Linked DNA regions of Drosophila melanogaster. The protein of the gene in region 2 interacts with the protein of the main gene of each other region in a pairwise test. Each region holds a gene or a part of one and is shown on either strand. Other genes may lie near its edges.

What was found. Proteins that work in one complex are often made in the same cells at the same time.
Region 1: the proteins of RPA2 (region 2) and ohgt interact in a two-hybrid assay, tested with the Drosophila melanogaster proteins (one large-scale study listed by BioGRID).
Region 3: the proteins of RPA2 (region 2) and Npl4 interact in a two-hybrid assay, tested with the Drosophila melanogaster proteins (one large-scale study listed by BioGRID).

Annotation. Positions count from the first base shown.
Region 1 is NT_033777.3:10,047,021-10,052,340, reverse strand, and holds ohgt (ohgata), read right to left. Parts: upstream 3,143-5,320; 5' UTR 3,046-3,142; coding exon 3,024-3,045; intron 2,952-3,023; coding exon 2,667-2,951; intron 2,602-2,666; coding exon 1,962-2,601; intron 1,902-1,961; coding exon 1,399-1,901; intron 1,328-1,398; coding exon 1,020-1,327; 3' UTR 814-1,019; downstream 1-813. Other genes in the region: fancl, read left to right, coding at 1-698, 756-794; CG12811 (uncharacterized protein), read left to right, coding at 3,805-3,924, 4,398-4,500, 4,572-4,960; mtTFB2 (mitochondrial transcription factor B2), read right to left, coding at 5,139-5,320. UniProt on the Drosophila melanogaster protein: Substrate recognition component of a DCX (DDB1-CUL4-X-box) E3 protein ligase complex that mediates the ubiquitination and subsequent proteasomal degradation of target proteins.
Region 2 is NT_033779.5:20,923,940-20,928,197, forward strand, and holds RPA2 (replication protein A2), read right to left. Parts: upstream 2,209-4,258; 5' UTR 2,108-2,208; coding exon 2,095-2,107; intron 2,037-2,094; coding exon 1,975-2,036; intron 1,912-1,974; coding exon 1,325-1,911; intron 1,236-1,324; coding exon 1,157-1,235; 3' UTR 1,036-1,156; downstream 1-1,035. Other genes in the region: Nthl1 (Nth-like DNA glycosylase 1), read right to left, coding at 2,509-2,925, 2,982-3,152, 3,218-3,685, 3,750-3,860.
Region 3 is NT_033777.3:25,620,433-25,625,752, forward strand, and holds the start of Npl4 (nuclear protein localization 4), read right to left. Parts: upstream 3,314-5,320; 5' UTR 3,148-3,313; coding exon 3,046-3,147; intron 2,974-3,045; coding exon 2,740-2,973; intron 2,678-2,739; coding exon 2,520-2,677; intron 2,459-2,519; coding exon 1,930-2,458; intron 1,870-1,929; coding exon 1,671-1,869; intron 1,609-1,670; coding exon 1,448-1,608; intron 1,407-1,447; exon of another isoform or gene 90-1,406; coding exon of another isoform or gene 1-89. Other genes in the region: CG5071 (uncharacterized protein), read left to right, coding at 1-89; Ssadh (succinic semialdehyde dehydrogenase), read right to left, coding at 4,500-5,320. UniProt on the Drosophila melanogaster protein: May be part of a complex that binds ubiquitinated proteins and that is necessary for the export of misfolded proteins from the ER to the cytoplasm, where they are degraded by the proteasome.

The DNA.
Region 1 (5,320 bases), on a different chromosome or scaffold from region 2:
TCAGCGAATTCACCGACTTCGAGCAGCATTATCTGGAGCTTAAGATCCCGTCTCTTCTCTTGCTTGATCACAGTTTGCCCGACTGCGTATCGCTGGGTGAAATGCTGACCAAGAGTGCTGGAAACCTAGAGGAGGCCCTAAACCTCTTTCGCAAGCTTCTCGAGGATCTGCGTCCCTTCTACGACAACTTCATGGATATCGACGAGCTTTGTCATGTGCTGCAACCATCGCCCATCAGCAGCAAACACAAAACACGACTGTTCCCTCTCAAGGATCGCGTCTACTTGAAGCTGACCATCGCGGATCCCTTTGCCTGCATTGCATCCATGTCGCTAAAGATCATTGGGCCCACGGAAGAGGTGGCCCGCCTGCGCCACGTTCTCAGCGATGGTCTAAGTAACTGGGACTCCGAAATGAACATTCACAAGAACCTACTCCGAATGTTCGACTTGTGCTACTTTCCCATGCCAGACTGGTCGGATGGACCCAAGCTGGATGAAGAGGACAACGAAGAGCTGCGCTGTAACATTTGCTTTGCCTATCGCCTGGATGGTGGCGAGGTGCCCCTCGTCTCCTGCGACAATGCCAAATGTGTGCTAAAGTGCCATGCCGTCTGTTTGGAGGAGTGGTTTAAGACTCTGATGGATGGCAAGACCTTTCTGGAGGTCTCCTTCGGCCAGTGTCCCTTCTGCAAGGCGGTAATATTGCCTATCATTTCATCTATTGCCAATGTACAACTGCTTTATCTTTTTCAGAAGCTGTCCACCTCATTTGCGGCACTTTTAAATGATTGAAATTTGTAACCATAATATTAAAAGCAAATATTTAAGAGTAACTTATTATTCAAATAATCGTAAATATCAATTAGGTTTACATCCACGCCATCAAACGCCGTGTGTTTTTGCTAAAAGTAGTTGTGAAACGAATTAAACAGGTCCCACCTGATGGACCGCATCATTCTCCTGACGACGCCAGCAGCAGAGTTGACATCTGAAAAATCGCTTCACAACGCGCCAGCCTCATTCCATATCGCTTGAGATCATCCGCATCATATTCCGCACCACATAGGTGGTTCCATTGAAGGGCGAGTACTCGCTGGCTTTTCCAATCCGCACGCTGGAGCCGGCCAAACCGAAAAACACCTTGGGTGTTAGGTTGGGATGCACGGCCTTGAACTCCCACCCGACGTGCTGGGCGCAGAACTTGCACAGAATAATGTGCCACTGATAGCCGGGGAACCAGCTAAACTTTGTGGACGGCTCGCCGCTGTAGCCGATGGCATGGGATATCACCCGGTACACGGTGTTTGTCTCGTGGATGTAGCCCTCTGTAAAGTAGTTAGTTTCAGTGAATTCATTGCTTATAGAAGACGGACATTGGACTTCTCCTTATGCTTACCTGGATTGCAATACTGTGTCTGCACACCGTGTTTGGACATGGCAAAGAGATCCGAGCAGAGGGCCAAGCTGCTATTGCAATATCGGCAAAAGAAGAGTGTCTCGTCCTTGAACGTGCTTTTGATCAATTGGAGGCGAGTGTTAACCGAGTCGGTGAGGAAGGTAAGCCGCATCATCTTCTCGGTCAGGTGAAGGTTACGCACCAACCAGAAGGACAACTGAATGGGGCATTTTGGCATTGTGTCTATCTTTTGGGACTCCAGCCTCTGGCGTGCTCGCTCCACAATTGAAGAAAACGAATACTCTTGGCAGGCATCAGATGGCCAGGTGGTAGTGCTTAGCTGGAACCTGCGATACTTGTCGCGCATCGAGGGTATATCCCGAAATCTGGCCATCGAGCCCATGTCAACAGTTTGGAGCGGTTCGGGCAGGAAATACTCGGGCAATATTTTGACTTTGCTGAAGCATTTGCTAGTTGGATTGCGAGCAATGTACTGCGGTGACCTGAAAAGATATGGGATTAATCATGGAGAATTTAAGGTGATCCGTATAGTCAAGACTCACCCTTTTATATCATCGCAGTTGATGACAATGCGCTGCAGTGCTCGTGATTTGTAGAACACCAATCCTCGGCCGCTTTCGCCCCTTTCGTAGATCTGACACGTGACCCCATACAACTTGTGTGGGTTGTCCTCCGGCGGCTGCAAACGCGGGAAGCTTACACCGAAGATCAGACCGTCCAGACCGGGCATATCCTCGTCAAACATTCGGCCGTCGATCATGAAGGGAAGCACCTCGCCGGGAAAGAGGATGTGCTGGTGCAAGAAGATGAGCATGTGATGGACGCTGCCCACCTCCAAGTAGTCCACTCCGGGCACGCGACTCAAATGATTACCGAAGTATGAATGCTCCGCTGGCAGATTGGTGTCAAAGCCAATGTCGATTGGTGGTCGAGGTGGCTGCTGTGGCGGTGGATCAACGGGCTGCTCGGCAGCCTCCTGGCTCGTTTCCTCGCTTGTGCGACTGCGCCGTCGCTCCTGGCTAAAGACCATGCTACGCACTCGCTGTAGGAAGTTGTCCCCACTGAGCAGTGCAGCGATTCCACCATCCCGATTGCGGGCTTGCGAGACCATCATGTCTACGGCGGAGCGCAGTCGGTTCTGCGGAATCATCCAATGGGGCAGGCTCTCCAGATCGGAATCATCTGGAAAGGATGGAAAACGCGGGTTAAGTAGGAATGTGCAGCACAACGATTGTAAGCCAACTAACCTTCACTTCCTGGACTTTCCAGAGACATGTCACTGCTGGGATGACTGCCCTCGCTTGCTGTGTCGTCCTGCAAAACGTTCTCTACCATGGCCTCAAGTGCATCCCCTCCCTCACCATCGGTGGCCAGTGGATCTTGGAAGGCATCTTCTGCCGGCGGTGACGGCTCGTCTGGCATTGCATTGTTCCAAGCCTGTTCTATCACGTCTACCTGCCGATCCTGGAGCCCCTGTGACTGTTGGTCCTCCAATTGCACATCTTCATCCCGTGCTTGCACAGAATTGATTTCTGCGCAGTTTCATATGATGAACATATGTTATTGGGAACATTTGGCGAGTGCTATGATGCTGCCACACCCACCTGAGTTCTCCTCTTCGTCCATTTGAGCCGTACAGTGTCTTTTGTTGCTTCGTTTTGCAGGTGAATTTTATATATATTTATTTGGTTTTTATTTTGACAAAGGAAAATAAGAGATGGGAGCTTTTCGATAGTTAGCGATTGGCTAACCAGTGCTAACCAATAATGGCAACATTTTGAAAATGTTCGGTAGTTGGGCGCCAAAATAGACTCGTAATGCTTATCGTTCTATATAACAAATTATTCGATTTTCAATTTTAATTTCTGATACACTTAGTAATTTGGTAGTCCACAACTCATAGGAAGACAATATAACTAAGCATTACTTAACAAGGAGTTCTTAATCCAATATTTCAAAAGCAAACGTAAGTGTGCAGATATTTTTTTTAAGTTTTTCCCTTTTCTCTTGGCTTAAATTTATATGATCAGAAAGTTATTTTTTTCAACTCATCGATAGAAACAGCTGAGCATTGATTGAGTATTGAGCATCACTAGCAAGAGCGGATGTAATCGGGAGAGCAATATCAATTGGAACTGGCCCTTATTGGACTATGTTTTAATTTCACTTTGTTCTGCTTTTCTGGTTATTCGCACTAAACTTCCAATTGGAATATTGGAATATTTCCGAGAAAACGTAAAACAATAACATAACTGGACCCAACTAAGATCGTTATCGTTATCGAAGATCTTCGTTTCCCATTGATTAAGATTAAGTCAAGATTGGCCAGCCTCATACTTGTTTGAATTGCCGTGAGTATCACATGAACAAGTGATTATACGGACAATGATCAATCCCCAACTTTTGCTGATCGCCGCGCTTATTGCGTTTATTGGGAAAGTGGCACACGCTCAAATCGCCTTTGTTGAGGATCAAGACATTGATAAGAAGAAGGCCAACCTTGCGGTAAGCTGCAGCCAGACACAATCCACATTTGTGATAAGAAACGCCAAAATGGAAGAGAAAACCCAGCCGGAACTGGGCAACATCTTTCGCCGAATACCCTTCCCAATCAGAAGTGAAAGTCGTTGGAGTCCAATTAGGAATTTTGTGTAGTGACCAATGTTCAAAAACATTTCATGATTGCTTTGATTTTAAAACTAGCTTAAGGTTCTAGTTAAATAATTATAATAACAGACTTTTAATTGTATGGATACTGTTGAACGTGATTGAAAAATTTTTTTTTTTGTTAAAAATAAGAAATACATTTATTTTATCACTGTGGTGACTTTGAGAGTTTCAAACCTTTAAACTTCTAAAGTGTGTGTTTGAAGTGAATTTCAAAATACGGGGACTGTTTTGGTAGTGTATGCAAGCCCCATTGGCAATAATCAATCGAATTCCTGCCTCACACCCCTCCGCTTTCTCCTCATCAACAGGGTCGCAAGCCACTGTATTCGCCAGCCCGATGCCCCAAGCACCAGCTTCTTTATCCGGGGGACCAGCAGAAGCAGAACGACTGGGTTTGCGACTGCGCGCCAGGTGAGCGGTCATAATGGAGCTACCATGGCGATGACATAATAATCTCCGTATGGGTACTTCCCCTTCGATAGCCACACTGTATTACCCGGAGACCGATGGCTGCTATCCGGCCTACCGACAGGGACCCTGTGAGGCTGGACAGATTCTGGTGCTCTACAAGGAGGAGATCATCCCGAAGTGCGTACGAAATCCATGTAACAGGGACGGACACTTTATGATTCGCGACACATGCTATGAGTTCGGAAACACCAAGAAGGAAGAAAACCCGTGTCCTTACCAGGAGGCTTCCTTTGTACTTGGCGTGAATCCCACCAACTTGATGGTGGACTGTGTGAAGCTGTCCGTTCAACTGGAGACGCGTATTTCGGACACGGAGCAGGCTCCGCCGGAATACTACGTTGATTTGGCCGAGAAATGCGCACGCGGCAGTCGCCTAATGGCTCAGGGAAAGTGTCCTTAAAGGATTTTAACATTATGTGCTTAAATGTATTGTGTTCTGTTTGGTAATGTGTGGAGGCCAGTGAAGAATAGCGAATTTGTTCCATGTTTAAGACAGATATAATATGATTACATACCATTTCTCAAAATGAAGGCAATTCTTTATTTTTCTTGCACAAGCAAAACGCTATTATGTACAACTAAGAACTGGCTTTCCTGCGCCTCTTGACGGGAGTGGTGGCGGGTACAGGGCTTTCTTCTTCGATAATTTCATCTGCTTCGGCATCATCCTCTTCTGGCAACGTGACGCCATCCTCTAGGTTTGGTTCGTCATTGGCAGTCTCCAGCTTGAGCAGCGCATTTTCCAGCGAGGCGAGGAAAG
Region 2 (4,258 bases):
ATTGTTACGATAAAAATGGGAACAGCAAGCGCGTTACCTTTGAAACAGCCACCTTCCCACGACCACCAGCCGCGTCTGAACGAGGTGACCCAAAAGTTTCTCGCCGATTTGGTCGAGGAGAGCCAGTGATTGTCCGCGGAGTTTCCACTTTGCGCACTGCTAATTGCCGAGGGTAAAATCAATTCGGCCCTTTACAGGGTATTTTAATGGTATTAATCCCACATTGCAGCTGTGGACCGTGTCTATGGCACTGGACGTATTCCCGGCAAGGAGTTATACGCAGACGTGTACAAGCAGAAGCCGATAAAGATTACCCAAAAGGTCTTCGTGCCCGTTAATCAGTATCCCAAGGTGGTTTTTTATACAATTAGCTATCCACTCCGACCGCAAAATGAATCCTTACACTTGCGCAGTTCAACTTCACTGGCAAGATCCTGGGGACCAAGGGGAATGCTCTCTTGCGCTATAAATTCCCACAACAAATATTAATCTTAATTTTTGATTTGCATGCCTATTATGTTTTGATTTTGATTCCTGAGCTTGTAATTTTCTATGATAAATTCAAAAACTAATGAAATAAAACGCATTGAATGAATTTTATAAATTTTTTGCAATCCGATCTAACTATGCCCGATATACAATCAAAATATGCATTACCTAATTAAACAATTAACTTACTAGCGTTAAAAGTTAGTTAGTTATATATCTAAAAAATAAATTGATAATGAAATAAAGCGGTATGAACTTATCACATCCTTTTATCAAATGAAGCAAAGTGAAACGATTCAAAAAAACTTTATAATCCATTACAATTTTATAAATGAACAAGAATATTAATTAAACATAAAATAATTAAAATATTTCAGGTTTTCTATCTTTTTTGTAAGATATTTTAAATTCCCTTAGGACTATGAATCCGAAGACTTTTCATATGATAAGCCGTAAATATACACATACACCGGCAACTTGAAGAGCAAGATTTCCTCAAATACACATTTTCAACAGTCCCAATAAAAAATATCCCAAAATCACTTTCTGATTATATAAGAAATATTTAATGTACAACTAATATATGGAAAATGTTCCCGTTTTTCAAAAACTTAATACATATATTCAATACGCATTTTTAAATTAAATAGTGGTTACACGATTTGATTTACATTGTGCAAATAAAGTGATCTGCGTCAATGCTGGAATAAATGTGTCCCTCGGAAATCATAAAGTCCAGAATGTTGCTGTAAAAATAGGAACAATAAAATGTTATAATTAATATTAATTAATAAAGAATATCAAATGATGCAATAGTTTTGGATAAACAACTTACGTCAACTCAGAGTCGCTGATGTGGGAGAATTTGGCTTTCAGTTCCTTGCGGGAGATGCCCTCCTCGGAAACATTGCTCTTGATGGCCTGGAATACGGCCTGCTGCTTGGGCTCCAGCCCACTGACAATGGCCGAGCTCTGGGAGGCGGTGAAATCAGCTATGGAGCCTGAGCCGGAAGAAGCCCCTGCACCAGCTCCAGCTCCACCCTTGCTCTGGTAGTCCTCGGCCCTGTAGCGGGCATTGAGTACTTCCAGCAGGTGGGTGCACACCTCGTTGGGATCCAAAACGGGCAGTAGCTTGAAGATCATTAGGGTTTTGGAACCGCCTTGCGACCGGGTGGTGCCGTAGACCTTCACGTAGTTGTTGACCATTACTTCGGGTGCCTTGAGAGCGTCGCCCTCCTCAAGCCAGTAGTGCGCATCGATCCTGCCGCTATGATCCTCCAGGGTGTAGGTGATCTTCGTCGAGGAAGTCTCCACGTTCCGCACTATGGCCACAACACATGCCATGGCGTACTGCATGCCGAACAACTCGATGTTTCCCTCTGGGGCGTCCACAATCTGCTTCACCACCAGGGGCACTATTCCCTAGTTGCAATCATACGGAATCATGTTAGGTTGTGCAACTTTACTGGCGTCTCACTCACTTACTTCTCCCTTTTGATTGCTGGCGGCTCCAGTTGGCGCAGTTTGTGTGGCATTGAAATCTCCAACTAAAACGAGCTTCGTTATTAGTTCCCTTAATTTCTCTGAGCTACGGGCTATACTTACATGAATCATTCATTTTCTTGGCTTTTGAGGGATTTGTAATTGAGTATTCTATATAATTTCACAAGGGCCGCTGGTAAACAATAAAACGCGCGAACGTAGAGCTGATAGTGTGGCCGTAGGTCGAACACGTAGGAATAACATCTATTTAGTATATAAGAAATACGAAATATTGTAGTGTCAATATTTCAATATTTTTCCTGAAAAACTGAATTATTGTAATAAATTGGGAATATACCTTTTTCAGTTAAAACAAAAAAAGAAAAACCACAAAATTTTTTATTTTTTACAGGACTTACAGCCCCCTTAATAATTCATTTATTTTCTTATGGGTAACACAATATTTTTCTTAGCACTAATAATTTCAGAAACACTTAGAAACCTAAAACCTTTTTCAGCGTTCGCTGAACCTCTTTCCTATCGGTCTTTCTTCCTTTTTTCTTTAGTTTCAGCATGGGCTGAAGGACAAATGTCCTTGTTCAGGCACTCCCCACAATTTGGCTTCACTGGGGTGCAAATGGTTTGTCCGAATCCCACGAACAAATGATTGACCTCTGACCAGAGGCTGAATGGCAGCCACTTCTCCAACGCCACACGGGTTTGCTCGGGCTCCTTGGTGGGCTTCGGCACCCAGCCCAGCCTGTTAGAAAGGCGGTGGACGTGGACGTCCACTCCGATTCCGGTTATCTTGTTCCAGGCCACTGCCATGCATATATGGGCCATCTTGGGGCCAACTCCTGGAAGAGCTACAAGGTCCTTGACATTATCTGGAATGTCCGAACCATACTTGTCCGTCAGTATCTCCACGGTTTGCTTGAGGTATTTAGCTTTGTTCTGGAAGAGATCGAGAGTAAGTGCGATATATTTATTTATTATTAATTCCACCAAACCTTGTAGAAGGATACGGGATGCAGTAAATTCTCGAGTTCAGTCACTGGCATTTCCTTTACTTTCAGTGGAGTTAGACCTCGGTCTTTAAGGCGATTCATGGCTTCATAAGTAGTTTGGTCTTTGGTTTGACTGGACAGCATCAATGCCACTAAGTTTTGGAAGCGCTGGGTCTGCAAGGAAGTTGTTTGCTTGTAACATATTCTTCTATGTACTTAATTCCACTTATTGGAAATACCTTCGAGTCTGCTTTTAAATCGGCGCATCGGTGGCATCCCATGGTGTCCACTGGCGCAGTTCTGGAGTTTCTCATAATGCGAATGTTTTCTAGGTGGTTAAACCACAAAGGATGTGGTGCTTGCACCTCAGAAAAAGAAGGGGAATCCTCCGGAGCTTCCTGTTTTATTTGGGGTTCCACCTCCTCTCTTATCTTATCCACTCTCACTGGGGAGTCCACAGCATCAGGGACCACCTTGCATATGACCACAGTAGCCGAACCCATTTGAACTCTGGTTACCATGCGATCATCCTTTCTAAACTTTTTGGGTGCCACTCGAGCTGGAGACAAGGGCTCCATTTTAATGTTAGTTTTCTTCACGGCTTCCCCATTTAAGAGACGCTGCTTGCGGGTTTGCACGGGGGAGAAGAACACTGAGCTACTCGATCCTGCTGCGCCAGCAGATACACCAACCAGATCCTCTATATCCTGGAAGATTTAGAAACTGCGTCTTGAGTATCAATTTCATTGTTTATCATGCATTTCCGCCTACCCTCACGTTATCCGCCCTATTTGGACGACTTTTTATTTCCGTGGGTTTTATAAGATCTCCGCGTTTTGCCAACTTGTTGGCCAACGTTAATTTCTTTACATTTTTGGCCATAGCTAATACAATTTCTGCGCTTCAGTTTCAGTTTCCATGTTTGTTTACATTTCGAACCTATCGATTTCGATGTAGGAGAAACGGCCACACTTTACAACTAAGTAGCCGGGAACATTTGAAATTTCGAAATATTCAACTCATGCAAGTTAGGATTTTAAGAACCATTTTTCGTATGCTACAGCATAATAAGTTATAAGCTATTACAATACATTTTAAGCCACAAATTTAATTTTAATGCACTTGATTTAAAAAAAAGTACAAACTTTTCGATTTCGTTATCAACAGCTCATAAAATTTAACAAAGATATTTAAAATAAATTTTATACCCGATATTCGTATACTAGATTCGTTGAAAAGTAAGTAATAAGCAGAAGGAAGCGTTTCCGACCAACTACATA
Region 3 (5,320 bases), on a different chromosome or scaffold from region 2:
ACCGAATTGCGGCCAGTGGCAATGCTCTAGGACGCCCGGCCCTTAGGAGCATTATCCGGAATTGTGGGGAATATCATTTAAACCAATAATAAGTCCGACTGATCCATTAGCTAATCCTACTTATCGAACAGTATCAAACCGAAAGCTCCTAAACACTTTGAATGTACAACACCACCCAATATCTATTTTATTCTTGGAATGCAAATCTTGGTATAAATTTTGTAAAAATAAACGATCAATGTAAGACACTTGAAACTCGACATTTTCAGCAACAGAAGCCAATTTTTTTAACAAAGAAAGAAAGAATTTTTATAAACAATTTACAACTTATTGAAACGTTTTGGATGCTATTTTAAATAAAAAAAAGACTATCAATGATCTATAAACATTTCAGATTCATGGACAAGGTGGAAATTGTAACAGACCTTGAGTATTTAAATAAGTTTAGCTTAAGGAAAACGACACTAAATGTGCGTTGGAGCGCTACGACGATACCTGGATATAGTAAATTAGCTACAATAAAAACTTAAAAATTTGAAACCACGAGTAAGGTGAAATCCAAATACATAGCTGACATGTAATTAATGTCAATTCAAGTTAATAATTAATATGAAATAAACCTATTAGCAATAAGTAAATAAACGAGATAGTTTTCGGTGTCTAAATATGCATTTGATGTGATCATAACTAAGGCTATGTTTGTGATGGATGAAATAATGAACGCCAAGAATAGCCATCCATAAAAATAAGGGAATCAAGTAATAATATGACCTTAGCGATGTAAAGGAAGGCAAAGAATCTTTTTAGGAACAAATCGAAATCAATTTTACGAAATTTGTAGACTTATTATACTTTAAATTATTTTAAGTAATCAATCAATCAACGATTAACTTCAATTGAAAAGAAAAAAATCAAATCGAAATCTTATATTTTCCAAAATAATAAAAACGCGTATCACAATTAAGCATTAGATAGAACAAAACAGTTTGGCAAAATAAAAATAAATAAAAAAAAATAAGGGTAATAACTGGAAAATTGTGATTGGCTTGGCAGTTGCTCAGAAAGTTATTTTAACAATTGAATATGCGCTAAATAACAACATTGTTTATGAATGTCCTAGGTATAGGAAAAATAAAATGAACGTTTGAAGGAGAACCCAGAGCAATGATGAGAAGTACAAACCGAGAAGGATAAGGAAAATAATGAAGTTGTTCCATAAATAAATCAACGTAATCCAAGATAATGTAAGCCTCTAGATGTCAAATGTTTGAATTGGCGTTGCTCTTGACACCCAAATTTTCTTTGCATGTATCAAACTGAAAAACCAAATCCCATTCGTATTGATGTCTAAATATGGAAGTTGTTTGTGTAAATGTGTGAACGTAATTCAATAAAGGTTGCCCGATAACTGATTTTGCTTGAATGGGGGGGAGACTTTCTAACTTACCTTATAGAAAACGTCGGGAACATACTGCTTGTCCGTGGATTCACGCACGTAGCCCAGCTCGGGCGCATCCTTAGTGGGTATCAGACAATTATCGCGCACCAGAGCCATGCACTGAGCCGAAACCGCATAGCCTTCCATGTGCACTTGTTTGGTTTTATCTCCTGTAATGTTAAAAACTATTTTGGTACTAGTTCATTAAGCAGTATTAAATCGTGAATCTTACCTGTTACACAAATGGTCACAAACTTAGAGCCGAAGACGCCATTGGAGGCATATTTACACGGATTTGGATGTCGATTCTGCAGCTCGCCAGCTGTGATGCACTCCTGGGCCGTAATAAAGTGCGACTCGATGCCACGGATCTGTTTGACAGTGCCGATACTCGCATCGTCCGTGATGAGATCAGTGAAAATCCAACCAATCTATAAATGTCACAAAAGTCAATACTAATGCTACATAGCTACTGTCTATAACTAACTAACCTTCTTCAGTCCCAGCGCACTGGCTACGGCATCCACATCGTCGGCGAACTCATCCGGCTGAATATTGATCGAATCCCTGGTAGACTCTTGTGGCGGCTCATAAATGGCAGCCACCTTGGCCCGAATGCCCAACGGAACATCAGTGTGCTGCTCGTACGTCCCATACAGATATCCCATGCGCTGGTGTCCTGTGGTGCGCCAGTAGTTGAGGAAGCGCTCCACGATCTTAGTGTTCTCGAACATGACGTTGTCCACGTGGCGATATGTCTGACGATTCAGCGTAATGGCCGACGGCTGGCACTTGGAGCAGATGCCCTTGGGCCATGGTGGATGCTCGCGACATCCCGGCTTGATGCGGCAATTGATGTCGTCGAAGACAAAGTACTTGCCCTGATCCATGCCGGATGTCTGCTTTCGTATGTACGAGTGGAAGGACAAGTGCTTGATATTGTGCTCCTTCAGATAGGACTCATCATAGGGCTCCAGTGCGGAGCAGTGAACGCAACGGCCGTTGGCATTGTGGTGGCACCTACAAAAAGTTATAGGTTGATCAGTTTAATTTTACAATTAATTGTATAATCAAGGCCTACAGCTTGCTATCACGTTCGCGCTTAATGGTGCCATCAGCCTTGCTCAGAGCCTGGTCCACGTCATCTTCGATCACATTGAAGGATGGACGAGCGCTGTTTGGATTGCTAATGGTGCTAGTCTTGAACGCCTGACTGTCCAGGACAGTGGTGCTAGTGCGCTGAGAAGTGGTGAAAAATGCAGGTTAGTCCCCGATCGTTCTGCTCTATATGATCAACTTACGCGCGATGATGTGCCAGCCATCTGTTTTAAGTAGACCATGTCGCCATGCCTCAAGGAAGTCCCCACCAGCTGGGAGCCACTTGCCTGCAGCTCTGTGAGGAAGTTGCGCTCCTTGAAGAGACCAAATCCATCCACCTTCAGGGCATTCTGAACGCTGTCGTACAGATGCTTTAGATTTGACTTGGGCGAGATCTCGATGCGTTTGATGCCCTCCGCCGACTGAACGCGAATTAGCTGGAATTAACAAATGAATAACAGATTCTAATTAGTACTAGGACAGGTGAATTTGGCAATTTCTGATCCAACCGATTGTTTACATAACACAAACAGACGATGGCGCACAAAGGCGTAGGCGAAATTGCGCTTCTTGTAGATGAATTGCTCGAGCAGCAGTGGTGCACAGGCCATTTTCTGGACTTTCTGGACGGGTCACTGGGTGATGGGCGGTTGGGTGGGCTCTTGTGTGGGCGGTGGTGGGTGGTAGATTGGGTAAGGGGGATTGTCAAGTGTAGCTATTAGCTACCAAAGCCTGTAGGGCTTTTTGCTTAGTGTTTCGAACTGTACGTCATGAAGGCGCGAACTTGACTGCGGAAATTTATCTGGCATCGCAATTAAAAACAAATGCAATTCGTTGCCAAAATGAGTGCATAGTTAAAAAGAGAACTAATGCCTGTATATGTAAATTCGGATCTGTAATTGTATGAGCTTTAAATAAAAAATAAAACAGCATTTTGAAAGACAAGCTGCATGCAGTTTTAAAACAAAAAAATTATATTAAATTTGTATTTAAAATTTTAAGTTGTGCTATTTACTGGTATGTGCAGTTTTCTTATTTTACAAAACATATATTTCAAAAATTAATTTTACGCAGAGACATTTTTCTGAGTGTAGCACCCTATCAACCAGAAATTGCTTTATTAGACAGAAATATCCTCAAATGCATTTCCCCCAGGCGGATTGCAGCCAACAATTGTTAATAATTTATTTGGTTTTTGGATCGGTTTTTGGTCTCAAAACCCCCGCACACTCCCCTCAGTCCTACTGCCGCCTAGACTGCACTCTTTCAGTGGAAAATCTACAAGTCATGGTACCATTCAATTTCACCGCCAGCACCTTTGGCCGCATTTCGGGACTTGCAGTGGATTTGCACTGCCGGGAGTGCTTCCAAATGGGTTCATTATGCATTATATGCTTCGCTTTTGCCGGCTGAAATGCACTTTAAATATATTTTCCATACATTTAGGCAACAACAACAAACGCCAGCGAACTGGAAAACCGACATTGTTTGCCGGCTTTTTTGGTGGGTAGCTATAGGGAAACACTTGACCAATTTCACTGCACACACTTCACCAATAAGACATTCGCTTAGTTTCCACCCTAAATGCACTTTTTAATTTTTTATCAACAATTTACTTACAATTTTGTCATTTGGCATTGTAATTTTGTCTCTGTCTCTGTCGCACAGCTGTGGGGATGGCGATAGTCTGCCCAGAGGTGGAGAAAAATCGATTACTCCCGGATATCGATGTCTCTATGATCGGTTTCTTGTCAATTTAAAGCGATTGTTAACCAATCCCAATTAATCGAAAGGTGAGGCGGGCTATTTTAAAAAAGGGAAATTATCTATTAGCTTCAGGTAGACTTTGTGCACATTTATTAATATAGCGGCGTGTTATTCTACAATTAGACAACAATAAACCAATCGCATTCTAGTGGAAGACAGCGTATGAAAGCAGTGGGGGTGATCCCTCCATCGGACTTCAGTCGTACTTGAGGTTGCCCATGCAAATGTACTTGATGTCCACATAGTCGTCGATACCGTGTTTGGAACCCTCCCGTCCGACACCGGACTCCTTGACGCCACCAAACGGAGCCTCTGCTGCGGAGATGATGCCTTCGTTGACGCCGACCATGCCAACCTCCAGTCGCTTGGCCACCCGGAACACCTGCTGCAGATTCTCGCTGTAGAAGTAACCGGCCAGGCCTCTCCTGGTGTCGTTTGCCTTCTTTACCGCTTCTTCTTCGTCTCGGAACCGTATGATGGAGACCACTGGACCAAAGACCTCCTCCGAGTAGAGTTGCGCCGAGGGTGGCACATCTGTGACAATTGTGGGTGCGTAGAAAAGGGATCCCTTGTCGGGCAACGGCTGTCCGCCCAGAATAATGTTCGCCTTCTTCGACCTGGCGTCCTCCACAAAGCCACTGACTTTGTTGAACTGCATCTCGTTGATCAGTGGTCCGATTTGCACATCGCAACCCTGACCATCTCCGATCTTCAAAGCTTCCACGCGTTTTTTCAGCTGCCCAACAAACTTATCGTAGACGCTGTCCTGGACAAAGAATCTATTGGCGGAGACGCAGGTCTGTCCGCAATTCCTAAACTTCGAGGCCATGGCGCCATCCACTGCTTTTTCAATGTCCGCCGAATCGAAGACAATGAACGGAGCATTGCCGCCGAGCTCGAGACAAATCCTTTTGATGCCATCAGCAGAGTTCCGGAACAGCAGTTTGCCCACCTCAGTGGAGCCCGTGAAGGATATACCCCTAACATCGGGACTCTTGCAGAAGAGATCGCCAATGG